Diceros bicornis minor: one gene and its partners. The protein of the gene in region 2 purifies or fractionates together with the protein of the main gene of each other region. This does not show direct contact. Links are inferred from orthologs where the notes say so. Each region holds a gene or a part of one and is shown on either strand. Other genes may lie near its edges.

What was found.
Region 1: the proteins of SF3A2 (region 2) and DNAJC8 purify together in Homo sapiens (affinity purification with mass spectrometry; 3 studies listed by BioGRID and IntAct, with this or other methods). This does not show direct contact. The link is inferred for Diceros bicornis minor from reciprocal best matches to the Homo sapiens genes SF3A2 and DNAJC8.
Region 3: the proteins of SF3A2 (region 2) and DHX15 purify together in Homo sapiens (affinity purification with mass spectrometry; 4 studies listed by BioGRID and IntAct, with this or other methods). This does not show direct contact. The link is inferred for Diceros bicornis minor from reciprocal best matches to the Homo sapiens genes SF3A2 and DHX15.
Region 4: the proteins of SF3A2 (region 2) and SNRPD3 purify together in Homo sapiens (affinity purification with mass spectrometry; 4 studies listed by BioGRID and IntAct, with this or other methods). This does not show direct contact. The link is inferred for Diceros bicornis minor from reciprocal best matches to the Homo sapiens genes SF3A2 and SNRPD3.

What each region holds. Positions count from the first base shown.
Region 1 is NC_080752.1:43,651,740-43,659,077, forward strand, and holds the start of DNAJC8 (dnaJ homolog subfamily C member 8), read right to left. Parts: upstream 3,023-7,338; 5' UTR 2,997-3,022; coding exon 2,919-2,996; intron 123-2,918; coding exon 21-122; intron 1-20. Other genes in the region: ATP5IF1 (ATPase inhibitor, mitochondrial), read left to right, coding at 5,422-5,508, 5,601-5,692, 7,165-7,312. UniProt on the Homo sapiens protein: Suppresses polyglutamine (polyQ) aggregation of ATXN3 in neuronal cells.
Region 2 is NW_026691553.1:1,550,953-1,558,373, reverse strand, and holds the start of SF3A2 (splicing factor 3A subunit 2), read right to left. Parts: upstream 3,033-7,421; 5' UTR 2,943-3,032; intron 1-2,942. Other genes in the region: PLEKHJ1 (pleckstrin homology domain-containing family J member 1), read left to right, coding at 3,576-3,669, 3,773-3,840, 3,933-3,999, 4,838-4,928, 5,007-5,070, 5,169-5,234. UniProt on the Homo sapiens protein: Component of the 17S U2 SnRNP complex of the spliceosome, a large ribonucleoprotein complex that removes introns from transcribed pre-mRNAs.
Region 3 is NC_080747.1:19,849,702-19,857,392, reverse strand, and holds the start of DHX15 (ATP-dependent RNA helicase DHX15), read left to right. Parts: upstream 1-4,674; 5' UTR 4,675-4,771; coding exon 4,772-4,842; intron 4,843-7,691.
Region 4 is NC_080774.1:28,860,893-28,868,194, reverse strand, and holds the start of SNRPD3 (small nuclear ribonucleoprotein Sm D3), read left to right. Parts: upstream 1-4,281; 5' UTR 4,282-4,638; intron 4,639-4,708; exon of another isoform or gene 4,709-4,802; intron 4,803-4,988; exon of another isoform or gene 4,989-5,073; intron 5,074-6,314; 5' UTR 6,315-6,332; coding exon 6,333-6,458; intron 6,459-7,302. Other genes in the region: protein GUCD1, read right to left, coding at 175-259, 3,544-3,586. UniProt on the Homo sapiens protein: Plays a role in pre-mRNA splicing as a core component of the spliceosomal U1, U2, U4 and U5 small nuclear ribonucleoproteins (snRNPs), the building blocks of the spliceosome.

The DNA of each region.
Region 1 (7,338 bases), on a different chromosome or scaffold from region 2:
AGCAACATCAGACAGCTCACCTCAAATGGGTTCAAATTGAAGTAGGAGGAACCAGGACGGGTCAATCTTTCAATCTGATTTTTGGACGTTAGAACTGAATCTCTCTTCTCTATTTGTTTCACCTAAAATAAAGGGGATAAAAACTTCATTAGTAAAGCTCAATAGTAAACTCTGAATTGTCATCCTAACAAGTTACTCACTGGCACATTCAGCAAACATTTATGTGTCTAAATGTTCAAGATATTTTACTAAACACTTTAAGGAATAATTACAACCGCTACCATTTACTGAATTTTAATAATGTAAAAACTTTACACATATTTATTCCTCTCAACAATCCTACCTGTAGAGACTACTATTATCCCCATTTTGCAGATAAGAAACTGAGACTTAAACAGGTTAACAGACTTGTTCCCAACTACCCAACTTGTAAACCAGAATTTTAACCCCAACAGTTTGACTCCAGAGCAGGCATCAAGAAGATTCAAAGATAAATAAGTCACAGCCACCACCTTGGGAGCTTCCACTGTAACGACGGAAGATATACTTGTGTGTGTTCATACTTAATTTACAACTTTTTATTTTAAGAAAGGAAAAATATAATTACACTGAAATATATACTAAAAGCAGCATTAAAAATGTATATGAGGGGCCGGCCCGGTGGCGCAAGGGGTTAAGTGCACGCACTCTGCTGCGGTGGCTGGGGATTCGCTGGTTCGGATCCCGGGTTCACACCGACACACTGCCTGGCAAGCCATGCTGTGGCGGCATCCCATATAAAGTGGAGGAAGATGGGCACGGATGTTAGCCCAGGGCTGGTCTTCCTCAGCAAAAAAAAAAAAAAAAAAGAGGAGGATTGGCAGATGTTAGCACAGGGCTGATCTCCTCACCAAAAAAAAAAAAAAAAAAATGTATATGAGAGGGAGCAAATAACTCTGCCTACCTAACTCTAATGGAGTTATTAGAAAAATCCCTGACTTGAAGACAGTGCTAAGAACAGGCACCAGGCAGTCCTGGGAAAACATCCTTGGTGCCACTGCCAGAATAAGAATGCTAACTGGAATGAATCTCTGGTGTGTTATATAACATTTTTATTTCTATGGCCAAAACAAGATTAGAAAGAATTTCAGTAACATAAAAAGACACTGTCTCTCAATATCTTCCCTCTTCACTCATTTTAAAATAGCATGCCACTCCCTCCTACTCTCTACCTTCTTTCCCAGGCTTATTTTTCCTCAAAGCACCTATCACTACCTGACACTATATTGTACATCTGTTTACCGATTATCCTTCTCCATAGAACACAAGCTCCACGAAAACAGGATTTTTCTCTCTGTCCTTCACTACCGAATCTCCAGCACCTAAGCAGTAGCCTAGTACATGTCAGGCGCTCAATAAACACTGGTTGAATGATGACTGAAGGGTCCTCCTTTAGGTTCTTTCCCCCGTCCAATTCAAACAAACCAGGATTGCTTTTTTTTTTTTTTTAACTAAGAGAGAGTAAGTGAAACAAGTTTCACTATAATTAGTAAGTAGTCATTAGAGGCCAATAAATTATGGTACCAGCGCACCAACATTTTCAAAGGAATCAGGCATTTCAAAAGGACAGGCTATAACGAATGTGCTACTTTCTGTTTTTAAAGTTAATACTTTGGAGAAACTACTATGTAACAAGCACTGTTACAAATACCAGACATAAAAGATGAATGTGACATGCTGCTTAACTCTGAGCAGTCCACAGCCTGGTGGGGAGCAACTCCACTCCTCAAATCCACGCCAACATTACGAGGTTCGTCTTCAGCCTTGCTTTAACTCTTAGAAAGATGCTCCTGTTTTATTATATTTTATGAAACCCTTCCATACACATTAATTGCTTTAACCTTCATAAAAACTCTTGTTTTGGGCCGGCCTGGTGGCTTAGCGGTTAAGCGCTCGCGCTCTGCTGCTGGCGGTCCGGGTTCCAATCCCGGGCGCACACCGACATACCACTTCTCTGGCCATGCTGAGGCCACGTCCCACGTGCAGCAACTAGAAGGATGTGCAGCTATGACATACAACTATCTACTGGGGCTTTGGGGGAAAAATAAATAAATAAAATTATAAAAAAAAAAAACTCTTGTTTTAATATTAACTCTCGTTTTACAGACGTGGAAACTGAGGAGCTGCAAAATCAATGCCTTGAAAGAGTTCGATTGCAGACAAATTAACTGCCTTGCATAAATCCAATCAGAGGTCCTCTGACTCCAAACGGCATGCTCTTCACTTATTCATGCATTCATTTACTCAACATACATTTACTGAGCGACCACTATGTACTAGGCGCTGGAGATGCGATATAAAAGAGGCTCAGACCAACCCTACTCCTGTCCTAACATGATACCAAGCTATCTGCTCTAAGACCTGGAACAAATTATTTCACCTCCCTAAACCTCAGGTTTGTCATCTGTAAAATGGAGATAATGCCTACCTGGCATGATGCACAGTGCCTGGCGTTCGCGAATGGCAGAAATAACCACTAATACAACTCATTACAGAGAACTAAGTGTAGAAAGCGCTGCTGTTTAGAATAAAATGGGGGCCAAGACGGTTAAGTCGCCCCCAGGAAGGCCCAGCCCCTGCCAGCCCCGGACTCCGCGGACTTGGGGAACTCTGCGCGCGCCCAGGCACTTCGTTGGCTACACTCGCCGTCTCCTCGCAGACGTCGGACCCCCCTCCCCCGACCTTTTCCGTTGCCCAGGGGATCCCCCAGCAGCTAGCAGGGAGAGATGTACACACGCCCCCAGCCCCCCGCCGCCCCGAAGGCCGAACAGGAGGAGCCGCCCAACGGTCCAAGCCAGGAGGACCACTGCCTTCACCCGCTGGCAGAGCAGGCCCGAGCGGGGTCGCCCGGGTGCCACTCTTCCTCACTCGGCGTTCACCTCACTGTAGAAGGTCATAAATGCTTCTTCTGTGCTGCCTCCGCCGGCCGAAGCCCCACTCTCTCCTGGAGCCGCCATTTCCCCGGCCCAGCCACCACGTGACTCTTCTGCGCAGGCGCTGCCTCACGTGATTCTTACAGGCCCTCTCTAGCCCCGCCCTCTTCTTTGCGACCCTTAAAGGGCTGGAAGCCTAAGGGGGCACTTTTAATCTACGTTCGTAAATTGTTTTTTTTAATTGAGGTGAAATACACATAACACACAATTAACCACTTTAAAGTGAACAATTTAGTGGCCTTTAGTATAGTCACAGTGTTATGCAATCACCACCTCTATCTAGATCCAAAACAATTTCATCACCTGGGAAGGATACCTGGCACCTATTAAGCAGTCCCTTCCCATTCCCCCTTCTTCCTAGCCCCTGACAACCACCAATCTGTGTTCTGTCTCTGGATTTACCTATTCTGGACATTTCATATAAATGCAGTCATACAATATATGACCTTTTGTATCTGGCTTCTTTTACTTAGCATAATCTTCAAGGTTTGTCCAAGGTATAGCATGTATCATTACTTCATTACTTTTTATGGCTGAATAATATTCCACTGTATGTATATACCACAGTTCATTTATTCATTCATCAGTTGATGGACATTTGGGTTGTTTCCATCTTTTGGCTATTATGAAATAATGTTGCTGTGAACATGCATGTACATGCATTTGTTTGAATACCAGTTTTCAATTTTGGGGGATATATACCTAGAAGGAAAATTGCTGAGTCACATGGTAATTCCATATTTAACTTTTTGAGCAACTGCCAAGATGTTTTCCACAGCAGCTGAACCATTTTACATTCCTACAAGCAACGTGTGAGGGTTGCAATTGCTCCACATCCTCACCAACACTTATTTTCCATTTTTTAAAATTGTAGCCATCCTAGTGCCTAAATGGATCTTTTGCACAAACAGAAAGACCCTCTACTTGATGCCTAGCCTAGGAGATAATTAAGAAACAGCTGTATCTGAGAACTAGAAACAGAGTTTCTGAAACAGGAATGGCACTTAAATATCATCTGGAGGGGCCAGCCTGGTGGCGCAGCAGTTAAGTTCACGTGTTCTGCTTGCACAGCCCGGGGTTCGCCAGTTCAGATCCTGGGCGTGGATCTATGCACCATTCAGCAAGCCATGCTGAGGCAGCGTCCCACATAGAAGAACTAGAAGGACCTACAACTAGGATATACAACTATGTACTGGGGCTTTGGGGAGAAAAAAGAGGAAGATTGGCAACAGATGTTAGCTCAGGGCCAATCTTCCTAAAATATATCTCTCTCTCTCTAGAAACACACCAAATCATTATCACTAGGTAGTGGGCTTGTAAGTGATGATTATTTCTATTCTTCTGCTTTTGTGTTTTTCCAAGTTTTCTGCAGTGAACATTTGAAAATGTGCCCTGCAGCCATTTCCTCCCATTTAAGTCATACAAACTAGGACTGGTATTTTTTCCAACCAAAAGATGATCAACAAAAACAGTTCTACAGTTTCATAGAAGGCAAAGAAAGTATTTTTATAATCATGAATAAGATAGATAATCTGGCCCAATCCTCTCATCTAAAAGAGAAAAAAACTGGGTCCAGAGAGAGAAAATGAGGTAGGCAAAGGCTATAAACTACTGTCTTGTTCACATTTGTTAGAGGGCTGAAGGAACATCAAGGCAAAGCCTTCCCTAGACTTCTACTTATGCTCTTTTCTACTTCATTGCACCAGATTGCCAAAATTACAGTTAACGTATTAATGCATTTCACAAATATTAATTCAGTGCCTATTTGATCAAGGCCCTGATAACTTCAGAAGGTGAAAAGTGCAAAAAGAGAGAAACAGAACAAAACAGGGAACTATGATAGAATGACTAAGGAGGTCAGGGAAGGTTTCTCTGAGAAGGTGACACTTAAGCTGAGACTTGAGAGTGAAATGTCAATGCAACGAAAGAACATTGACACCTCTTAAGAGACCATATACATACACATAAAAAATTTTTTTCCCAACAACCCGAAGTCGGGGCATCCGGGACTTATCCCCGCCACGCCCATTACCCATCTTATTGACGCTAGTAGTCCAGGAAAAGGAAGACTTCCTTTGGGTTGTTTAATAATAACAATTTTAGGATTGGAATCGTGGGGTGGCAGTGGATGCCACGCCTCACTCTGAGGAATCCAAGAGCCGAAATGCCGGCTTCTGACCTTCTCCTCCCCTTCCTCTCCAATCTCCTCCATTATTCTCCAGTCCTTTAGGCTTTGAGCCCTTGCTAGGAATTGGCTAAGAATAGGCCCGCCTCTCGCTCACGATTCGCTGAGAACTACAGGAACCCCGCCTCCTCCCTCTCATGATTCGCTACTCCTAGGTTCATCCCGCCTCTCCACCGAAACGATTGGCTGCCCGGCCATCAGCGCTGTTAGCGCCTATAGAGAGGCTGCGCCTCCAGTGACCCGAGAGCTGCGGCACTGACAGCAATGGCAGTCACGGCTCTGGCGGCGCAGATGCGGCTCGGCGTGTGGGGCGCGAGGGCCATGCAAGCCCGAGGCTTCAGCTCCGAACGGGTACGCCGGCGGCAGTGTCCGCTGCCCCAGCCCTGAGCGCGGATCCCATCTCCCCCTCCGCGCTTTACCAATGTCCCGGTCTTTCTCCGCAGTCAAAGGATCACGACGCCCCCGCGGGCTCGATCCGGGAGGGCGGAGGGGCCTTCGGAAAGAGAGAGCAGGCTGAAGAGGAACGATACTTCCGGTGAGGCCCACGGGGTCCCGAGTCCAGCCCTAGATCTCTCAGGGCCTTCCAGTCGCCCCACCCATCCCTCCCTGGTGCCCTGGGGTGCCCTATCCCCCAACAGAACTCCCGGGCCCCCGAACCCATTACGCCCAACACTTGAGGTCCTGACTGTTGCCACCTATAGGGCGCTCCCAGCCCTGCCAAATGTCCCAAGGCCCCCAAACGCCAGCCATTTCCACCTGCGGGTGTCCAGAACTCGCAAACCACGGCTCCACTCTTCCTGAATCATTTACCATCCCCACCCGTGGAATGCTCCCCAGGTCGTGCGAAACGCCCCTCAGATACTTCGCAGAGTGCCCGGATCCGACCGTCCAATACTTGCAGACCCTCTGAGCCTGACTCCCTCGGCCCTCACCCACCTTTCACCCCTCTACGCACTCTTTTCTCCTCTACACGCCTTAGTTTTGCAAGCCCCGCAGGGATGGATTCCCTGACTCTTCAGACCCTCTCACCTGTTTCTAGACCCCCACGTGTCTCCGCCAGAGTGAGTGGGTCATATGAGCTGGTTGGTGGCAGCTGCTCACGGTTGGAATCCACACATACACACACTTCCTGGAGACTTTTGCCCTGCCCCGCCCAGCCCAGCCGCTGGGCTATATAGATTTCTCTCTCTCCTTTAGAATCTGGGCCTGTCTACCCTCTTTTTCAGCCCTGAGTTATCTTTTACTGACTTCTGTTCACGGTGGGGAGCAGCACGGGACTAATCTCGCTTCTGCTTCTCCTTTGCCCTATCTGTTCACTTCTGCCCTCTCTTGCTCACTCTTAAGAATCATCACCATGGCACCTGCCATACCAGAGAGCCAAGGTACAGCCCTTAGAGACCATCTAATTGGGCCCTACATTATACAGTTAAGGAAAACTGAGGCCCAAATGTGGCCAAACCAATGTTTGAATCGTCCCCTCTTGAGACTTAAATTGGACTGCCAAGTACTGACCATGCAGAGACCCCTTCTTTTTTTTCCTTCATTTTGGCCTTTACAGTGAGCCATGCATTTCTCTAGGCAAAGAAAGCCCTAGATAAATTGGGAGAGGATGTGACTATTTGTCTTTAACTATACCCGTTTGTCGACCTCCTTCCTTTTGCTCTTTTTTTCCACAAAAAGGGATTCTCTTCTCTGGGTTGTTCCTCTAATAAGGTATTGGAAATTTGTCACACCTCTCTGGAGTTTTCTACTCTAGCTCATTAATGATGGAATTTCAGGTACTAGAACCAGGAAAATGAAATCATTTGGGTCATCTAAAGATGGATACATCTTAAGATGGTGTATTCTTTCAGTAGTGGGGCTTAAGGAGGTAGAAGAGGATGACCAGCCAGACTCGCATGGGATTGGGACTCCTGTGTCCTTTGCCTTAGGTATTATGGGTTATGCATAGAGATCTCTTTGGGGTGAAGGATTGGGATTAAACCCAGAATGACTGTGTCCTTGTAGAAAGCGGACTAAAGAACAACTGGCAGCCTTGAAGAAACACCATGAAGATGAGATCTCTCATCATGTAAAGGAGATTGAGCATCTGCAGAAAGAAATTGAGCGGCACAAGCAGAGGATCAAGACACTAAAAGATCATGATGATGATTAAGTGCACACAGTTCCCCATGGAATGGC
Region 2 (7,421 bases):
GAGGCCGTGCCGTCTGTCCAGCAGCTCACGGGCTGAGCACTGCCCACCCCCGAGGGGCAAAACCCCACCCTCCCTGCTGGCCTCGGGACGGGAAGCTGGCACAGGGGGAGTGCATGTGAGAGCCGAGAGGCACTACCTGCCCTCTAGCCTCTACCCAGAGCGTGAATCCGGGGGCCCGGAGCCGGCTCCCTCCGGTGAGTGACTTGCAGGCCTCCCCTGCAGATTCCCAGGGCCGGGAGAGGACGGCGCTTCCCCAAACACTGAGGACGGGGGCCTCTGAGGCTGGGAGTGTGCTCTGACTAACTCAGCAGCCAGCTGGCAGGTACAGGAAAGGTGCCCAACGTCACGAACCATCAGGGCAACACGAGTGAAAACTGCAGTGAGACACCACCCTACACAGTCAGGACGGCTGTCATCACACCAACCAACCAACGACAACGAGTGTTCTCGGAACGAGGGCAGGAGCTCAGAGGGACCCGCGGCACCACTGCGGGGGCCGGGACAGAGAGCCACCTGTCTGCTGATGTCCTGTTCCTGTCATGCGTTAGTGACACCTTCAGAACATTCTCCTGGAACAATGGCTGGGAGGAGCTGGAAAAGTGAGTTGGAAGGCAACAAGGTTAACCAAGCCAACAGCTCCGATCCGTTTGAGGATGAGCCCAACTCCTTCCTAAGCGGCCAGACTGGGCTCCTCAGTCCCGGAGGCTGGCCGGGAAATGCGCATGGGGGCCAGGGGTCGCAGAAAGCACCTGCTGAGAGAAGCTGATGGGCTCAGGAAACCCAAACAAATCCGTAACCGCTCACCAAATGAGAGTGAAAACCAGTAACCATCGGAAACTGAAAGTGCTGGTTACTCACAGCTCCCTGAACACACGCTACCCCCCCCCGCCCCCCCCCCCCCCGCAACTGAAATGAGAGTCTCTGCCATGAGAGAAAGGTCACAGACCCAGGCACCCTCGACTCCCTGGGCAGGGCAGTTTTATTCTTAGAAGAATTGGAATGAAGGGCCTCCTGGCTTAGAGATGTGGACACAGTGGGACAAGAGAGCTGGGGGAGCGCCAGGCTGAAAAGAGGGGATTCCATCAAAACCCGCCCACGGAACAGCAGCTCCCCCACACCAGGTCCAGACAGCGGGAGGCCCAGCCCGGAGCCCCCAGCCCAGGGGACAGCAGGAGTCTCTTCTGGGGAAAGAGTGCCAGAGAAAGCATTCTCAGACACTGACAGCTAGGGTCCCCCACGCCCCAAAGAAAACACCAGCTCCCCACCGGGCCCACGGAGCAGGGAGACTCCCTAGGTGAGAAACTGGGCTCTACCCGCAGAGCGGGCAACTTGACAATACAGACACGAAGGATCGCTGTGTCGCCAAGAAAGCAGAAACCTGATGAAATCTCAATAGGAAACGTTAACGTTCTCCTGAACTGTCCGGGAAGTTATCTACTGCACCGTGACCCTAGAACAGGATGCCAAAGGTTAGCAAGGCGAAGCAAAACCAGAATGAATCCTTGGACAGTAAAGACCGGATGATCCCCCCAAAAAATGGAACACGGGGCTCAGAGATAAGAATTAAAAAAATATTTCCTAAGGGAGAACCAAATAATGAAAAAACAGGAGACAGAACAAGAACCTAGATGAAATTCCAGAAGAAGAACAGAAAGAAGCATGGAGAGTGTTATCACACAGAGAACATGAGAATGTGTTCAAAGAAACGAAAAAACCCAGGACTGAAAGGACCTAATTCTTCCAAGGAAACAGACCCACCCAGGTCAACAAATAAACAGATCCTCAATAAACAGATCAGGAAACTTCACAACAGCAAGGAAAACCCTTAAGTTTCTACGACACAGAAACAAAGCTAGAAATAAAAGTTCAGAAGCCCGAATGGGACCAGACCTCTCAGTAAGGCAGGCAACGCTTTCCACAATTCTCCACACGGATTTTCAATCTAGAATTTTATACCCGAACTTCTAACTCTGAGAATACATAAAGCCATTTTCAGATAACCAAGAACTCAAATCAGTCAACGGATTTCTTAAAAGCTACCAAGACATGCTCTTCACAACTGCGCAAAAATACGTGTGCGCGGTGTTGGAGTTTTGAAAGAAAAATTATTAAAAAATTAATGAGTTTTTGGGGAAAAACAGAACAAGGAAAATGACACAGATGAACATCTTAATATTTTCGGTTTTAAAATACAGGACTAATGATTTCGCTAAAGCTCAGGCTCTATAAACACGTTCAAGGGATGGAAGGCGACGTTGGAGCGAGTGGGTGGGAGGCAGAAATAATCTCATCAATCACGGTAGAAAGTCAGCAGGTCACGTCTAAAACCGACACACTCAGAAAAAATTAAGTTTTTTACAAAGATTAAGGCCAAGCATCCAGAATTCTAAAGGCGTGGCCTCTGGGGAGGGACCAGGGAACAGGGATGAATGACAGTTCTTGATGAGCACGCTACTATCCCCGTAAACCTGCCCAACAGAACACTTTCGGCGGCTCCTCTCGGGGGTTCTGCGCGGCCAAAGGGAAGAAGGAGGAAGCGGGCATCCGAGTCATTTAAGCTCGGGCTTCGCTCGCCAAACGGGGCGGGCTCACGGTCTCCGGTCGCCCCCGACGCGGGGCTGGGCACTCTGCCCCCAAACCTCGCTTATTCCTCAGCTGGCCTGGAGCGGGGACCGCCGCGCCCCCGATCCCACAGTTACGGGAACTGGAGCTCCCAGGGCCCACGGGCCTCTGGAGGGAGAGCTCCGACGGGCAGGGGGCGCCCGGGACGCTGAGGCCCCACATCCCCGGGCACGGGCCGCCGCGGCCGCTCGGCCCTCAACCCGCGCCCCCCCGCCGCAGGCCCGCCTCGCCCACGTCCGCTCCCCTCCAGGGAACCCCGGGCCCCGGGGCCGCCGCCCTCGCCCCGCGCCGCTCCTTACCCGCACCCGACAACGAGATACCGTTGTCTTTTCAGCCGCCGCGGGGGCCGCCACGACTTCGTCCTGCGCACGCGCGCCAAGGGCTAAGGAAGCACTTCCGGGGGCAAACGGAGCAGGGCCTCCCGTGTGCGCATGCCCGATCCGCCGGCGACGTGGGCGGGACGCTCTGGAGGCGCGAGGGGAAAAGGGCGGGGCTGAGAGTGCGGGCCGGTTCCCGAAGTGCGCGTGCGCACCAGGCTCTCGACGCCCTCTGGGTCGCCTCTAATTCCCGCGAGGCCAGTTCTCGCGGGAGGAAGGGCTGCGACTCGCCCAACATCTGCCTTCTCCTGTCCGCTTCAGTAAAGGGTGCCAGCAGTCGTGGGGGTGCTTTATTCTGTTGCCACGCGGGCCTAGCTTACTTCATGGTTATATATAACGACGGTGCGTCTCACCCACTATCCCGTGCGGCCCACGACGGCTTCGCTCGGCCGCGGTGGGCCGGGTGACGTCAGGGCCACGCACCGATGATTGACAGGATAAGCGGCCCGGGGGCGCGCAGACGCAGTAGCTCCGGGAGCGCTTCCGGGACGGCGCCGTGGGACTTTTCTGGCGCGAGCGGGGACGGCGGCCGAGAGGGCGCAGCCTGGGCTCCGCGTCCTGGGTCCCAGCGGCGCCATGCGCTTCAACGAGAAGGAGCTGCAGGCGCTGTCCCGGCAGCCGGCCGAGCTGGCGGCCGAGCTGGGCATGCGGGGCCCCAAGAAGGGCAGCGGTGAGCGGGCCGGGGCGCCGGGGCGGGCGGGCCGGGCGGGCCGGGGCGGGGAGGCCGGCCGCTGAGCCCGCCGAGTCCGCGCGAGCCCGCCCTGTGCCCGCAGTGGTGAAGCGGCGGCTGGTGAAGCTGGTGGTCAATTTCCTTTTCTACTTCCGGACGGATGAGGCCGAGGTAGGGCGGCGGGGGGGGGAGCTGGGGAGGGGAGGGGAGGGATCCGGGTCGGGCTCCCCGCAGTCTGCCCCCATCGCCGCGTCTGCCCCCAGCCCGTCGGAGCCCTGCTGCTGGAGCACTGCAGAGTCGCCCAGGAAGAGCCCAGCGGCTTCTCCATCAGTGAGTGTCCATCACTGAGTGCGGGGGGGCGGGGACGAGGCCCGCCGAGACCCAGCTCCGCCCGGCCGCGCCCCAGAAACAAAGTCCGCCGGGCCCGCCGGGCGCCTCCCCTGCGCTCCTCCCCTGGGGTCCCAGGCTGGGCACACCTGTCCCAGCCACTTCCGAGCTGCCACCCCGAACGCCACCTCTTGTTGGGGACCAGTGCCCTCTCGGGGTGCCCGGTCCTCTGCTGGGGGCCCCGGAGGATTACTTCTGGGCTCTCTGGAGAGGGTGTGGAGTATGCAGGGGAAGATGGAGCCTCTGCTAGTTTCCGGGGGCTGCCTTAACGAAGTGCCACAGGTTGGGGGGCTTAAACAGCAGAAATTCACTTTTTCGGTTTTGGAGAGCGGAAGTCCGAGATCGGGTTGTCGGCAGGCAGGATTCTTACAAGGGAGAAATCTGTCCCATGTTGTCTTAGTTTCTGGGGGTCGCTGGCAGTTTTGGCATCCCTTGGCTAGTAGGAGCATCACCTCGTCTCTGCCTCCATCTTTTGTGGCCTTTTCCCCTGTTTATGTCTGAATGTCCAGTTTTTATAAGGACACCAGTCCTGTTGGATTAGAATCCACCGCACTCCAGTGTGGCCTCGTCTTAGCTAATTATACTTGCGACCACCACCTATCCAAATACAGCGGCATTCGTAGGTCCCAGGAGCTAGGATATGTCCTTTGGGGGCATGCAATTCAACCTGCAGCTGGCGGGAAGTGGTGAGTGCAGGCTGGGGCTGGAGAGGCTACAGCTGTGGACAGCAGCAACAGGAAGCTAAGGCCTGTGGCTGTCTGGGGGGCCGCTCCCTCTGCAGGCTTCATCGGGGACCCTGAGCGGAAGTACCACTTTGAGTGCGGCAGCGAGGAGCAGTGTCAGGAGTGGATAGCGGCCCTGCGCCGAGCCAGGTGGGCTGCGGGCTGGCGTGGGGGCCCCGGGCAGGGGCAGAGCAGGGCCCTGTGAGCGCACGCTGCTTTCTTCCCCAGCTACGAGTTCATGCGGAGGAGCCTCATCTTCTACAGGAACGAGATCCAGAAAATGACCGGCAAGGTGCGCGAGGGGCACGGGGTGTGGGGGAGGTGGAGGGGCTGGGGTTGTGGGCCTCCTGGGCCCTGGGCTCACACTGCCCCACCCACCCGCCCACACAGGACCCCCTGGAGCAGTTCGGCATATCCGAGGAGGCCAGGTTCCAGCTGAGCGGCCTGCAGGCATGAGTCCGGGCTCAGGCTCTTTGGCTTTCCTGCTGAGGCTGGGGCACGCCCTCCTCACCTCGCTGGGCCCTGGGTTTCCTGGCCACACCTGGATTTGCGGCGGGAGGCGTTTAGGCTTAAAGACTTCAAAATCTCGAGGCTGGTGGGGGTGGGCAGCAAGTCCCCCTCCCCATGCCTCGGGACCCACTGGACTGGCCCAGTACCTCTCGGTGCCACATGCTGCTGCCGGGGACGAGCGTCCACTCCCAGGAGCTGCGCCTGGCCCCTCGGGCACGTCCATCCAGGGCCTGGCGGGCGCCTGGGGCTGGCACAGCTCTCCTGCCCTGTGCAGGCTGAATGTACAAAGCTAGACGATGCTGTGAAGGGCAGGGGGCCCGTGCCTCCTGGGCCACTGTGAATTCTCCACCTGCTGACGGGGCAGACCCTGGCCGGACGCCTCGAGCTGGCGTGCTCGTTCTGTTTGAATAAAGGTACCTCTTTTCACATGGGGCGGTGGTGCGGTGATTGCAGAGGGACGTGTCCACAGGCTCGTGGTCCCGGGTGGTCGGAGCCAGCTCCCGAGGGAAGTGAGGCTCGTGGGGACAGAGGTCCTGTCCAGGCTTGAGGGTTAAGTGGTTGGGAGGCTGGGGCCAGGCTCCTCGAACCAAGGGAGGCCTGGAACCAGAGCTGGGGAAGTCGGGGGGCCCTGAGGAAGAACGGAGGGAGTGTGTGATGGAATTATAAGGTGACCCGCGACCCACCCCTGCTTTCCAGGCCTCCCCTGGGTGCAGGAGGACCCTCAGGAAGGGTTTGGCCTATGTTGTTCAAGTCTCTCATCAGTTGGTTTTAGTTAATCAAAAGGGAGGCCGTTCTGGGTGGGCCTGATCCTGTGAGGTGTAAGCCCTTGAGGTGGGGCTGGGCCTCCCTGAGGTGGGGGCTCGCCATCTGTCTGCCATGGTCACAGCGGCTGTCTTCAGGAGCACGAGGAGCTTCTGCTGGAGTGACTGTCCTCCCCACTGGGGACAGCGAGGACAGCCCGGGGCCCTCTGGGTTCTCCAAGACCTTGTCACGTCTTGATTAGGAAGAAACGCTGCCACCAGACCAGGTTCGAGTGAAAACAAATATTTTATTACAGCGTCTCAAGGTGGAAATGCAGGGTGCAGGGAGTTCCCTTAGGAAAAGGGGGTCAGGCCACCAGCCCAGAGAGGGACAGGCCGTGCCAGCACCCCCAACCCAAACAGTCTACCAGGAAAACAAAGCAAAGCCCATGTGAGTTACAAATCAAGGTCGAGACATGAGAAATGAGCCGGTGTGGATGGACCGTGTAATGAGAATGACGCAGCGGGACGAACACCGTCTCCTACTGCAGCCGGTGGATAAATAAAGGGGTGGGGGTCTTAAATAAGTCACGAGTCACAGCAGGGAGGAAAGGCTGACCCCCCTGACGGTGGGTGGTCCTAGTTGTTAGGGTTTCCTGAGCAAAGCGACCTTGCAGCCCGCTAGCTTCCCTGAAGGTGCCCGCCATCACAGCAGGACCAGGGCTCCATCCAGTGCCGCCCAGAGACCAGAGCCCGCTGCCCGAGTCGTGTGCCGGGGGCCTTGCTGCGAGGAGGCTGGTCTCAGAAGGGCCTAGGGGCTCAGACTGGAGGGTGGGCACAGAGAGGAGACTCCCGAGTGCTCACGGCTGATGGATCCCCAGCAGTGGGCGTCAGTGCCCGGCCTCACGTGTGCGCAGACGCGGGTGTTGGGGGGAGAGATATGGCACGTCGGTAGGAGCCCGCACGAGTGACGCAGTGTGTGTGCAGGGTCGCTTGGTTCTAGGCCAGGGCTGTGCTGCGGCTCCTCTCCTGCCAGCTCTGCAGCTTTTTAAGGAGCCCTGTGCTCCTGACATGGAGAGGGCAGCTGAAGGGACCCTCTCGGAGCGGCCAGGCGAACGCTGCCCTGTCCTGGGGGCTGGGGCACGGGGTTCAAGGGGTTCACGGGGGTGAGGGACAGCACCTTCGTGCACCAAGAGCACCAACCCCCAGGGAAGGGACCAGGGTGGCCAGTTACAGGAGAACGGGCCAGCTCCGAGAGCCCGTCACAAGCACCGTTTTCGGCTTCGACTATTGCTCTGGGCAGGGTGTTACCCCAGTCAAGCAGGGAAGTGGGGCCCGCCCACGGAAACCAGGGCTCCAGGCAGCGGCCAGGCCTGCTCAGCACTGGTGGGTC
Region 3 (7,691 bases), on a different chromosome or scaffold from region 2:
CTGCTACTGTTATATTTAAGTCCTGGGACCGGTCCTCAGTTTTCTCTGTCTTCCCACTGCAGGAGATGAGAACCTCTTCACACGCTCCCCAGAAGGTCTTCTGGTTTTCACACTTAGCTTTGAATTGCAGATTAATCACTCTCAGCCTTTCATTACCTCCCTCCAAAGTATCAATTCTACATAGCAATAGCCGTCAAATTCCAATGTGCTTATAGTTACTCTTTCCCCCATAATTTGAGAACAACGCATGCTCTTTCGCTGCACACCACATGCTCTTTCCCACAGCTGAAACTTTTAACAACTGCCCTGCTTTCTTGTGGTAGCTATATTCTACCTGCCACCACTGATTCCTTGTGGGCCAGCAACCAGTGGCCAACCCCCAAATCCAGTCATAGTGTCTGCTTTCTTGGACCATTCCTGGCACCAAATCTTTTAGGTTGAGTTCCATGAAAAGTACACATGAGGAAAAGATTAGGATTCACGAAGTTTATTAAGGAGTCCACAACGATCAACACCAGTGGAAGGGAAGAGATGAAGGCAGGATCAGACAGAGGGAAAAACTGTGCTGTGATGCTATTGTATAATAAATGATTTGACTGGCTTTTGTCCTCGGTTCCTGAGAGGTAACTTTTAAACCCCTGTAATTTCCCAAGTGATAGGAGTGTCTTTGTTATTTATGGTGGGTCTTTGGACCACATCTGAGTTTATGCTACTGAAACGATTCAGGATGAGGGCTGGTCATGTGAGAAAGATCAACCATGTGATTAAAGGGTTGAAGCTTTGAGCCTTGTGATATCAGCCTGACTTCCTGACCTCCAGCGAGGGGAAGGGGGCTGGTGATTGAGTTCAATCATAGGGCCAATGATTCAATCAATTATAGCTAGGTAATGAAACCCCAATAAAAACTCTGGATACTGAAGCTCAGTGGAACTTCCTGGTTTCTGAACATGTTGAAGTGCCAGGAGGGTGACATATCCTAATTCCACAGGAAGAAGATACAGAAGCTCTGTGTTCAGGACCCTCCCAGATCTCACCCTATGTGTCTTTTCATTTGGCTGGTCCTGATTTGTATCCATAATAATAAAACTGTAATCACAAGTATAGCACTTTCCTGAGTTCTGTGAGTCATTCTAGCAAATCAGTGAACCTGAGGGACTTGTGGGAATTTGTAGCCAGTTGGTGAGAAGGGTAGGTGGCCTGGGGACTCCTGAACTTGTGGATGGCATCTGGAGTGAGGGCAGTCTTGTTGGGGACTGTGCTCCCAACTTGTGGGGTCTGAGCTACCTCTGGGTGGTTAGTGACCAAACTGCATTGCAGTATAGAAGATACCATTATAACAATGGCCTGAGATGATCCCACAGAGAGCTCTGATGCTCTGAAGCTCACAGTTGTCCCAAGCTGGGGAGAGGGGCTAGGCGCTTATACCTCCACAATATATTCAGACTGCCCTTGGGCAGCTCTCTTTAGCCAATGAAGTTTTTGAAGGGAGCTGACAGCTGAAGGTTGTCTGCAGGTAGCACTCCCAGGAAGTGAGGGATGTTTTTCATTCTTGAAGCAGGATTTCCATGCCAAGTCACAGTGCCGACCGCACTTTGTAACTATTTCTATCTATTAAATGGTAGAGTGAGGATAGGGTGATTAAAAGCAGTAGTGGAGATTCTTTTGAATTTGTAAGCATTTTGCAGCTGAAGAGAATTCAGAGTGAGATTGGTGGGATGATCCTGGCAAATTCTCATGAGTGATCATATCGTTGTCCTACTTAAACCCTTTTGATGTCTTCTTATTGCTCTTGGGAAGGATAAACTCTTAATATCCTTAGCAGGACTCCTCAGGCTCTGCATGATACGGCCCCTTCTTGCATCTGCAAGATCATGTCATCTTCATCTCATTGCACTCATGTTGTTCTGTCTATGGATTGCACCTGACTTTTTAAAGTCTCAGGGCCTTTGCACAGGCTGTGCCCTCTGCCTGGAATGCTTTCCTTCCTCTTCACCTGACGAATTTGTACTCATTTTTTAGGTCTTTGTTTAAATGTCCCTTTCTCAGAGAGGTCTTCCCTAACCCTCACTCTGGATCAGGGCCACCTGTTATATGCTCTCATAGCACCTGTCCCCTTTAGATGGCCTTTTTAGCACTTATCTGAGCTGTAACAATGTAGTTATGTGTTTCATTGTTTCATGCCTGTCTCTGTCCCTCTGATAAGTGCCATGAAGGCAGGAACTGTGGCTATTTTGTTCTTTCCTCTCTCCCCAGCTCTTAACTCAATGCCTGACATGGGGATTTAATAAATATTTGGTGAGTGAATAAGCAAATGAAGTAATTAAAGGATAGATAGTAGTGATACAGGGTAGTGGTTAATAGTGTGGCTCTGGAGTCTTACTGGATTCAAATCCTTTAAATCTTGACTTGTCCATCGAAAGCTGTGTAAATGAGTCCTCCCCTTGGACAACGTAGAAACTTCAGTTTATCAGTTCACACTGAGTTCGTCAGATTGAGGGAACTTATCCTCAAAAACCTCGGAGAATAATGTGGAATAAGAATACCTATTCATCATCAGCGGCACAGCGTAGCACTTAAGCACACAAACTATCTGAGATGAATCCTAGAACTGTCATCTTTGCCACAATACTTGGCATTTTTGTACAGCAGTTTCCTCACCTGTAAACGAGTGTCAAAGTTGTTGTAAGGATCAAATAGGTTAAAATATATAAGAAACAGTGTCTGGTACCCAGTAAGTGCTTTCTATGTGTTTGCCATAATCATTATTGTTTATTAATTTAGGTTGGGAGACACCTCTGGCTTGACACCTAGAGCTGGTTAGCTGCATAAGACATTTTCTCTATTTGAATAAATTCATGCCACAGACCAAATAACAGATCAGAGGGTTGTCTAATAGACAAAAAGTAAGAGTAAAGGAAATATTCTCTGGTAACATTTCCAGGAAGCTGTAGGGGACCTTGATGGATGGTTCTTCTCTGCTATAGGGACAATTCTGCCTGAAAATCCAGAGTAAGTCATCTAGACCTCAGGGAGTGTGAACATCCTGGCAGATTCTGGCCCTTGGTTCCCCTTGTTGTAGATTCCAGAAAGGGCACTATCCTTTGGTAAATATGGCCTTTCTTCAGTCATTCAGGTTACACCAAAATTGATTAGGTTACACTTTTCTTTAGATATACCCTAAGCCCAAGGAGGAAGTCTTATTACTCTGATTTCAGTTCCTCCTTTACCAAGTCTCCCTGCTGATGCCTCTTAGGGTGGGGGCACTTCTGCAGGTAGAATTCTAAACTTTTCCCTCATTATTTTGCCAAAATTTTAGAGTACTTTATAGAAACCCTCAAACTGGGAATCTGGAGACCTGGGACTGGCATAGAGTGAAATCTGGATTTTAGTTCTGACTTTGACACTAACTTGCTGCATGAACGTGGGCATGACCTAGGGGCTCAGGTTTTCTTGTATGTAAAATGTTGCAGAAAATCAGCTGGAAATTCTTTTCCAGGTTTACAATTCAGCGATTATGCATCATGATCTCTGACTAAAGTCAGTATACATACTGTTAATGTACATTTAGGGTAGAAAGTAGCAGTGAATATTTTACGTGAAAATATTCACTTTTCTTCGCACTGACTTTGGAATGTGGATTTGCTTCAAAAATAAAAACCCTCTTTATCAGTTGCAATATTAAAGTTGTATTTAACCTTAGCGATTGCAGTTCTGAGGACTTGATAAGAACCTGAATATGGTCTTCCAGGGTAGCCAAACAGCCATTTCATGAACTACACAGATGACCCAGCTTGGGCTGGTCCACAGATCTTTTTCTTGTGCATTTCTTCTGGGAATGATTGCAACTGAGCAAGCAAATAGGTTCCGGTTGGAGAGATCCACAAAAATCATGTCATCTTACCCCATCACTTTGCTATGGCTTTAAGGACAGCCCTAATGGCTGTGTGACTTCTTAATCTCCCTCAGGCTTAGTGTCCACATCTATAAAATAACACCTACCTTGCAGGGTTCCTGTAACAATGAGGACAGAGCTCGGGTTAACACTGTGAAAGCCCATAATAGGCACACAGAAAAAAAAAAGCTTATTATGCCCTTACTGTCAATTTTCTTTATTCCAATAAAAATTACACCAATGTTGACTGCATGTTGCCCGTGGTGGGTAAAATAAGGCCAAAATGGATTATGGCAAGTCTTGAGATTTTTCTCACCTTAGTTTCTTAACTGCAATTGAGAGCATCTGGTCAGTGGCTGCAAGTTCTAGATCTGGAGTTATAAAATAGTTGGGTTCCAATCCTGGCACTCTGTCCCTTATCAGTTGTGTGATCTTGATTAGTTTCTAAACCTCTCCGGGTCTCAGAGTCCCCTAAAGCCAGGGTAATACAGACAGATAGGACTACACTTCCCCGCCTCTCAATTTCCTAAAACAGAGGTGCGCGAAGGCTCACGCCACCGAGCAGCTCCTCAGACGGCGGAAAGCACCCGAAGGAGGGCGGGCCAAAGAAGCCACAGGCGAGGCGGGAGTTCCCGCCTCCTATGCGTGCGCGCGCTACGCGCGCACGCAGAGCACGCTCCGGAAGCGCGCGCGCGCAGGCCCAGCCCTCGTCGCCGCCGCCATTTTAGCTCCTGGTTCCGGCCGCACGGTGTAAGCTGTTGTAGCGGGAGGGGTGGGGGGGGTCCTCCGGAGTTAAGTAGCTGCCCTCGACTGCGCCCATCCAGCCGCCAGCTTCTCTTTTTGTCTTTCTTCTCGACCGTCCGCTCGAAGAGTCCGAAGATGTCCAAGCGGCACCGGTTGGACCTGGGGGAGGATTACCCCTCCGGCAAGAAGCGTGCGGGGACCGATGGGTAAGCCAGGCCGGGGGCGCGAGGCAGCGGCTCGGGCTTTGTTGGGGTCCCGGCAGGGAGCGGGCCAGGACCGGCCGGGCCGAGCGGGCCCCGGAGCCCGACCCTTTGTTCCCTCTGGGCTCGGCTCAAGGCGGCGGGTCGGGGACAGCGGCGCCACTCCCGACGTTCGCCCGGCAAGGGCGCGGGATGTGTGGCGCGGCCGCCGCCCGGCCCAGTCGGGAGCGGGTGAGGCCTGCTGTGGCCACGAGGACGCCTCCTCCCCGGGCCGAACCAAGCGGCAGTCGCTTCGAGGGGAGCGGGCGGGAGGGAACCGCGGACCGCGTGGCCTGGCTTCCCGGGTAAGGCTTGGGGCCGGCGAGCAGGGTGGGGGAGGGCGCGGCGGGAGTATTCACTTCCAAGGACACCAGGTGCTCCTCAGGCAGAGGGGCCGGGGAGAGGGCCTCGACGGGCGGCTGGGGGGCCAGCAAGGGAAAGACGGGGGCGGAAAGTGAGAGAAGCGCTTGGATTCTCGTGAAGGCTGGGATGGGGGTGGCGGGAGTTGAGTGAGGCGTGCAGACCAGGAGTTCTCGGGGGAAGGGAGAGTCGAGGGCCTGCCGGGAGAAAGGAAAACGTGGAGTATACCTGATGGGCTGGAAGGCTGCTGGTTTGGAGCCTCTGAGTTTATAGTTTGGCGGGAGACCGCGTGCCTCGGTCCATTCAAACACTTCAAAGAAGATACTAGGCAAACTTCCGCTCTCTGCCTATGCTCCCGCCATCTCCTTTATTTCCTGCTTTGGCTAAAACAGTGGTTTCGGAGGATCTCTGGGATAAGCGTTAGAAGGCATTCATTTTTTCCAATAAGTTCTTGTTTTCTAACCCCCCACCCCCACCCACGTTCATAACCATCTTTTGAAACCCGATGCTTTTCTAAAATGTTTCTGGTATTTATGGAAAAATAGCGCCCTTGGGGAGGTTGTGAGTTGAAATACTCAGACTCGTAGTGTTTCAGATTCCTTTCCTTGAGCGTTTCCTTAAACGTACAGGGGAATTTAACAATTGACTTGAGCAGTTGCATCAGAATCTTGTCTTCTCCGGTATATGTGTTCATTCCTGAAATAACAGAGATTTATTTGGATAACTCAGGCAAAAATAGAAAAGTCTGAACATCCAAATACTTAGCATAATTTTATCATTTTATTGTGTGTGTACGTGTACAGAATCACTGTGTTAGGTCGTCTGTGTAACTTTTATATGAGTTTTTGTTCACCCAAAGTCCTTCATTTGGGTTGATTTCCAGGTATTTGTTTAATGTCGAGAGTATAAGCTGAGATAGAGTGTACTTTTTGATACCTTCCTATGTGTTGAATATGGAGAGCAACAGTATGTAACATTTTAGCCTTGTAAGGTTTTTAGTTTTCAATGTTAGACATTAGTTTTCTCTCTCTTAGGCTGTCTCCTCTCCCACTCCAATACTTTAGCTCATTTGAGCTACACTCACAGACTCATTAGAGCTGGAAATGACTTAGAAATGGAGACTCAGAGTTGTTAAGGTGGCTTGTGCAAATTTACGTGGTTTACAGCTGGATCTAGAACCTTGATCTTTTCATATTCACTCTTAGCCTCTTGCTTTTTCCATTACAGCACACAGTCTATGACTGTAGTTAAGAGTCATTACAGCCGATTTTAATGACATTTAGAATGGGTTGTTAAAGTAGGGAACACTTGGTTCTTGGTTTCTGTGAAGCAAAAATAAATTGCTTGTCTGCTGGCTAAGATGCAACTGATAGCTCTCACAACAGTTAAGATTGGAACAAAACATGCTGGGAAGGAATGAATTCACTAACTCATAAATGTGTGTATGTGCACCACTTAAACGCTTTTTTGGGATTGGTGGTCCCATATGTATGTGGGCTTGCTCGCTTTCTCTTGCAAAACAGATATCCTAAGTAAAAATGTGGACTTTTTAGACCTTATGATTCTCTTGGATATTATGTGGCATCTACCTGTAGGTGAAGGAGAGTTCATCTTTGGAATAAAGTCCGAGTTCTGAGGTTCTGGAGGGAAGTTTGTATACTCAGTTCTATGTCACTTGAATGTCATTTCTCATAGAACTAATTTTCTTTAGCACTGGGCTTACAATGTTTATTAGTGTTCAGGTCTTTTTTTCTTTAATATTTGATAATTTAAGAAGTCGCTTTCGCTGACTGCCATGCAATCTTGCAAGTTTTGTTTTTGTTTGTTTTTTAAGTCCTGGTAGTTAGCAGGTGGTTTTTACTGAGAGGGTAGGCTTGTTGGTCTTGTGAACTCCACTGCCAAACACTGCTGTCCCATTTCCCCAATACTGAGAGGGGAAGGTAATTCCTTGGGAGATTTCACTCATATTCAAGCTCCCAAACTATATATGGCTTTATTTATTCCTGATATATTTTAATTTTGGGGTCAGGTAGAGAAGTTAAAGGTTTCTGTTATATAGTGACCTTATTCCTTTTTCTATCATCCCACAAAATTTTCCATATAAAATTATTACCAAAAGACAACTTACTAGTGAAGTATGGAAAAAACTTTGAAAATATACTGTGCTCCTGAAACTATTCTAGGTGCCTTATGTGTATAAGCACATTTTCACTACATTCTTGTGATGTAGGTAGGTGATGTTAAGTAACTTGACCCAGGGAACGCAAGAAATGTCCATACGCAAAGATATAAAGGAAAAGGCAAAAAATTTCTTGAAGTCTTTGTGCTTATGCTTAGTCCCTTGAGGAACATTTTTTTAGATCTCTGCATTTTATTCACAAATGTGAACTATCATAATATCAATGGGTTATTTCAATATGTGTTGTTTTGTGCTTTGATTTTTATTCACTCAGAAA
Region 4 (7,302 bases), on a different chromosome or scaffold from region 2:
GGTCCACTTCTTGTTTTTGCAGATGGGACTAAGCCTGGTTGGAAGCTGAACTTCCCACAAGCCCCAACAAAGGACAGCCACATGGATGATGAATCCCACCCAGGTCTCTCCCTCTGTCTTCCCCAACCCGGAGAAGGTGGTGTGGATGGGGAGGGCCTCAGCCTGCCCACTCACCGCAGCACCATCCTGGAGCAGGCCAGGCCACAGTCCCAGTGGTAGAGCTGCTGGATGATGGGCACGGGCAGCTGCACAAAATCCCCTGCATGGAAACACAGGGAGGTCACAGACCCTTGGCATAGTGCCCACCACTGCTGCCCCCATTGGAGCCACCGTCTTTGGCTCCTGCCCAGATCTTGCAGGGGTTGTTCAGGGGCCAGCCCACAGCCTTTCAGGCCCCCCGACCCTTTCTCCTTACAATAGCAGTGATCTCCCAAAACACCAGTCGGAACAGCTCAGCCTGACTCAAAATCCTCCAGTGGGTTGGTTCCCATATCTCTTAGGACAATGCCTTCAAGGCTGCTGCCCCAGCGCCCTCTGCTTCCTCACCTCCCCTCATCCTCAACAGGTCACCCTCCAGGCAGACCTTCAGCTGCTGTGATCCCCTATGCCTCTGGGCCTTTGCATACCTACTCCCTCTGCCTGGACTCTCTTGGCATCACAGGCGCCTGAGCTAACTCCTGTCTTCGGACGTCACTTCTCCACGACGCTGCCCGTCATGCTCAGCCCCCCCACTCTGTGCACTCTCAGAGCAGTGGGAGCTCCAGGGAGGCAGAGATAGGGCCAGCACATGAGAGGCACTCAGCAGATATTCATGTCTGAATTCACGAGGCCTCTGGAGGTTTGCCTGACTCCAAAGTCCCCTGGGCCAACAATGTGTGAAGACCATAGTTAGGAGGAAGGGACTGTAAGGTGATCAGTGTATGTGGAAAGCTATCCTCGGCAACCGCTCAGTCTGTCCTTGCCAAGCAGTGAGGCGGAGCAGAATGGGCCAGACCTAGGCATTCTAGCCCTGGCTCTGTCACTGGCTGGCTGTGGGCTGAGTAGCTGACTTCCTCTTGCTGGTCTGGGTCTGGCCATCTCTAAAGTGGGGGACTTTGGTCTGATTCAGCCATTCGATCAACAAATATTTCCCAAGAGCCTGGCACATAACTGGAGATACAGTGGTGAGAGACATAGACAGGGCCCTGTCCCGGTGGACAGCAAAAACAGGCAAGTATAAGAGAAAAACAGGGGACTAGACTAGGGAAAAGGGTGAGGTGTGCCTTAGAGAGGCAATGCTCAAAGTCTCCTCCTCTAAGAGGCTTTTGCTGACTATGCCTTTGCTGTAGGGGGGGCCCTCCTTCACAGCATCCTGTTTGTTTCCTTCACAGTACTTAATAAAAGTAACAACAAAAAAAAACTAAAGCTACTTTGTCTCCCCACTAGACTATAAGCTTCCTGAGGGCAGAGAATTTGCTAATCTTGTTCACTGTTATTTCCAGTGCCTAGTGTCTAATGCTTAGTAGTAACTCAATAAACATTTGTTGGAAGAAATGAACTTATTAAACACCCACTGTGTGCTAGCCTCTGGGGACACTAAAGGTGACCAAGACCCAAGCCCTGTCCTCCAGGGATTCATATTCTAAAATAATTCCCCCCAATGAGCTGAGTGGAAGGAGAGCTCTAAGTAGGGTGCTGTTCCCTCATGGTGGGATACCTCCCTTATCAAGAACCCCTCACTGTGGCCATAAACTGCCCTTTTTGTTTTTCTCTACACAGGCTGTTTACTCCTCAGCCTTTGCTCTTGCATATCCCTTAGTCAGACTGTTATCTCCCATCTCTGAATGTCCAAATGCTCTGGTTTCTTTCCCTCTCTGAGCCCTTCAATATGGAGTATTTGAGGTGGTGTCTGCCTTCCCCACCAGACAGGCCAAGAATTCCTCAGTGACAGGCAGGGACAGGGTTGCATTTGTCTCTTCCCAGCCCTAGGCCCAGTGCAGGCATTCATACATGCTCGGTGATTGGAAGGCGTTTTTCCAAAAAGGCCTTATCCCTTGCGATGTCTACTTGTCACTGCAATGCTCCCCCACCCAGGCTTCCAGACTATGGACCTCTGTTCACAGCTCCCTACTTACTTTGTGGCCTGGGCTCTCACATCAGCTAGCTGGGCCATCTTTGGCCAGGCTTTGACTCTGTCTGTGCCTTCTCCTATGCCTAGCTGTAAATGTGGCATAGGACAGCTCTCTGTAGGGCCCTCAGGAACTCCACTGCCCCTCCTCTTCTTGCCCCAATCCCTAAAACACCTTGATCCTGAGACCCGGCAGGGCTATACATCCCCACCTGACCATCCCAGTCTTGGCAGGGGCAGGTCAGCCCAATGGAACTCAGAGATACTCCTGTGGGGAGTGATAAGGGTAGGTGAGGCCTTCCAAGCCCAAAGCTGCTGCCAGTTGTTGATGCTTGGAGCCAAGGGACTGTCTCACCTGAGAGCTAGCGTCTGCCTGGAAGGCCCTGGCCTGGCTTCAGTTGGCAGGTGTCGCCAAGGAAGGAAGGCAGCTCACTGGCCCTGGATACTTAACCCCTCAGCCTCAGTCTGCTCATCTGCAAAAGCGCAAATAACGATGGTAACCTACTTCATGGGGTCGTTATGGGGATTAACGAGGCACTGCATGTAAACAATTTAGCACAGTGCCTGCCCATAGAAAGCTCCCCACGAATGTGAGCCATTACTCCACGGAGGCTCAGGAAAGGCAAGCGCCTGGTCCAAGATCACAGAGTTGGAGGAGTAGGGATGCAAATCCCAGGACAGCATCAGACCCTACTCCTTGTTGTAATCACAAAAGAGACCACTCCCTAGGTGGGACACCATGGTCCCACTGATGCCTTAGGGTGGGGCTGGGCATGCTCTTGACCTCTCCCATGAGCTGGTACCTCACTTTAAAGTTTACTAGCTTTAGAGTTTACTTTCTCTTTCTCATCAACCCTACACCTCACCCGGAGCAGGAATCACTACTTCCTCCCCCACTTAGAGAAGCAAACTGTGGCCCACGCACTGGATGTCAGTCTTGGTTTCCGCCCTAAAGGAACTCAGACCACCTTGGGGCAGAAGGAACCAGAGGATGAGGACTGTAGCAAGACTAAAGGCTAAGCCGGGGAGGCCAGGGGAAGGGGACCTCCCACTGCTGTGTTCTCGGCCAGCTCCCCGCCCTTCTAGGCGTCAGTTCTCCCACAGTTCCCCTAGGGGACAGGATCTACCTGCGGCTCCAGCAGGACTTTTCGCTTCGGGGAAGGTGGCGCCCCTGCCTCACAATCAGGACCCTCCCATCACGACCGCTATCAGAACTACTGGGGTCCCAACCCTGGGAGTAACAGGAAACACCAACTGATGGCAGCTGGGGAGAGTGGGGGCCCAGGCGGGAGTGTACACCTGGCCAGGTTTCACTCAAAGCTCTACAGCCTGAGGCGGCGGTCAGCCCAAGGTCGCGCAGCCAGACCCTGCCCCGAGCTAGGGCGGGGTCCCCTCGTTCCCCGGGGTGAGGGGTGGGCCCTCGGGGAAGCACTGACCGGACTCGAGCGGCGCCCCCGCTGCCTCCGCCTCCGTCCTCATGACCCGGGCGGCGCGGGGCGCCCATGGCCCCGGCCCGGCGCCGGCTGCAGCTTCGCCTTTGGCTGGGGCGCGAGCGGGGCCGGCGCGTGTCGTGCTCCTCTGCCGCCACTGCCACCGCGGTGGGGAGAAGGGGAGGCGGCAGCTGTGCCGCCCCAAGCCCCGCCCCGGCCCTTCCAGGCCTGGGATCCGGGGGCCCGCCCCTTCATTAAGCCCCTCCCCTCCCCTCCCCTCTCCCCGAGTCCTGTTCTTAGAGGCCCCCAAGCCTCCTGCTCTAAGCCCGCCCCCGCCTTTCGCTGTCTCGGCTTCTGGTGGCCCCGCCCCTTTCCCAGCCCTCGCGCAGACGCGCAGGCCCTTCTCCGCCTCCGTTCCCCGGAAGCCCCGCCCCTTTCCTGAGCCCCGCCCCTAACCCCAGCGTTCCAGGAACATTGGCTCCCCAGAGGCTCTTCCCTTAGCAAGCTCCGTGTCTGCCCAGCCCCAGCCTCAGGTCTAAGGTCTGGTCCTGCCCCATACACCGCGGGCCTCGGGAGACCACGACCCTGGGCCTGCCCCCGCTCTACTCTATACCTGTTTCCCTATCCGTACGGTGAGATAGGTCGCCTCAATCAGGACGCCCCTTACCTAGAGGTGCCGGGTTCCAAAGATTAAATTGTGAGGGGAGGTCTTGGACCCTCGGCCCCACTGCCTGCCGACCCCGATCCCCGCCTTGCGGTGCAGTCCGTCCCTGGTCTGGGGTGCTAGGAAGCGCGAGTCGTCCTCTCCCCTTGCCGCCCCGGGGGTCGGTGTTTCCGGCAGTACCTGGGCCCGGTCATCAGCCGTCCATTCCGGGGCCGGAACTATCATACTAGAGCGCACGTTTCCTAGCCGGCGGAGTGAGGAGGAAGGAGAGACGAGACCGCGGTCACCGCTAGGAAAAGGAAAGGGGCGGGTCCTGCGCGAGGCATTTTGGGAACGCGTGGTATTCTGGGAGCGCGGGCCCCGCCATTAGTTCCCCACACGCTTACGCGTTCGCCAGAGTCCCTGCCGCCCTAGAAAGGAAGAGGAGGCCGGAGCCGGTGAGGAGAGGCCGGGGGCGGGCGAGGGTAGGCCGAGGCACCCGTGAGGGCCCGGGGGCTGGGGAAGGAGGCGCTGCCGACGAGCTCTGCAGGGCTCGAGGAGGGAGAAGAGCGGAGAAGGCTGGGCCACCCGAGCATCAGCGGTGCCTCCCTAGCGCCTGGAAGTGAGTTCATTAGCTTTTCCCCAGAGTACATGTTCTTCGCCTTCTATACCTCTCCAAGTCAGTGTTTTTCGAAGCATCCAGGCAGTAGTCTTGAAATCATTCCTGGCTGGTTGCCTCCTTCCCCAAATCCTACCTGGGTAATCTTTTTCAAAGTTCTTTGCATCTCTGCCTCCATCCCCCTTTCAGCCGCTGGTCCTCTCCTGCTTTCCACGCTGTTACAGAAGTTCTGTCAAGTTTCCCTGCTTCTAAACCGTGTTCGATCCATTTTGTTGTAAGTGCTGCTGCCTTTTCATTTGATCATTCCTTACCTATAATCCTGCAGTGATTCCCCGCTGCCTTCAAGTATAAAATCTAGACTCCTAAAGCTCCTCACCAAGGGAACTTGTCTTTCCCAACCTCGTGTTCCCTTTCCTGTCTTGACCACACATAATATGTTCCAACCTTCAGTCGTTGCTCACCTTGGAATAAAAAGTCCACTGCTTGTCTCTTCTGTGACATCAAGTCAGTCACTTACCCTGATTATATTTTTCCTACCTGGATTTCCTGCACATTGTCGCTTTGTGAGCACTTTGTATTTTCTTTTTAGCCTTGATGGTGAAGTAAGTGGAGGGTCATGGGCACTTAATGGGTTGAATTGAATGCACAGCCTCTTCTACCAGATTTGCCTGGATCCTTTGGTCTGTATCTGAATTGCCTGATACTGTACACATGTGCCCAATACTAGTACCCACATGTAGCCACTGAGCGCTTGAAGTGTGGCTAGTGTGACTGAGGGACTGAATATTTTAATTTTATTTCATTTTGATTGAGTTTAAATAGCTACATGTGGACTGTGGCTACTGTATTGGACAGCTCAGGTCTATGTCATGAGTTCTCAAAGTGGTGTTAACCACAACTATGGGTTGACAGATACCTTGTATGCACGTTCATTCCAACCCCCTTTCCCCCAACACACAGTATGGTTAATGGTTATTTGATGAAGATAAAGGGACATATGGTAGCAGGGAGGGAGATGGAAAGTACTTTCTTTTCATTCCCAGGCCCCCTCTTTCCCCCTACCCCACATCTTGCATGTGTTTGCCAGATAGGGTCCTCAAGCTAGGAGTTAAGCTCTATTTTTTTTTTTTTTTTTGGTGAGGAACATTGGCCCTGAGCTCATATCTGTTGCCAATCTTCCTCTTTTTGCTGAGGAAGATTGGCCCTGAGCTAACATCTCTGCCACTCTTTTTCTATTTTGTATGTGGGACGCTGCCACAGCATGGCTTGATGAGTGCTGCATAGGTCCGCACCTGGGATCCGAACCTGTGAACCCCGGGCCGCCTAAGCAGAGCATGCAAAGTTAACCACTAGGCTACTGGGCTGGCCCCTTAAGCTCCTTTTTTCTATAGAAAGTGCAGCTTTGGCATTTTTACTAAGTTTTATGGAGTGTCAGGCCTTGAGGGAGGCATGGTGTGTGCTACATGCCTTCTCAGGCTCTGAAAGATGGACTAACTGTTGTCTGTTTCACCGTAGAACTCTCTTCCTGCCAAGATGTCTATTGGCGTGCCCATTAAAGTCCTACACGAGGCTGAGGGTCACATTGTGACATGTGAGACAAATACCGGTGAGGTGTATCGTGGGAAGCTCATTGAAGCGGAGGACAACATGAACTGCCAGGTATCTTGCTTTGCACATGAGGCTGGGGGGAAGCTTGGGCCTCTGTCTTGGACAGAAAGATGGTGATTGGAGGTCTTTTTGAAGTTGTTCTCATTCCTCGGTTATTTATTGAGTGCCTGATGTGTGTTAGGAACTGTTATAGTGGCTGGGCATTTGGGCATAAATAAGAGCCATTGGGAATATTTAACTTTGTGCTTTGTTTTCTCCATCCCATAATCATTTTCTTCCATATTTTGGAGACCTGTTTAGGAAACATAGCTCTACTACCTTCAGTAGAATCCGTCAGGATCGGGGCCATTATCCATTTGCCCCTACACATTTGCGTAATGCTTGGTGCTAAGCAGAATCTTACACTCACGTGCTATGTTTGCCATTTTTCTTGGAGGAGGCATCTTGTTTGATTATAGCAACTACCTTGTGAGGTAAGCAGAATTGGTGATAGGTTTGTCATCCGTATAGTAGGGAGAATAAGATTAATAGACTCATCTACTGAATGTCAATCTGCTAATAAATGTTGGGGCAGCTTCCTGATACAATGCCCTTCCCGTGGCACGATTTTGTTTGCCTTTTGCTAATAATCACGTGAGTTTGTATAACATTGCTTTACAAAGTGTATCAGCACACTTTCTCTCTTGTTCTTTAAACCATCACATGTGGGTTTAAATCCTAATTGTCTAATCTTAGGCATGTTAATCACCTCAGTTACCTTATCCGTAAAATGGGAATGGTGTTATTTTGAGTTGTCTGAGATGTAGATGCCAAGACAAAATTAGTTGTGCAAGAGACTTATTGGAGGAACTGACAATAAAGGAGAAGGAGTAGGGGTAGGCAGGAGAGTTTTCAG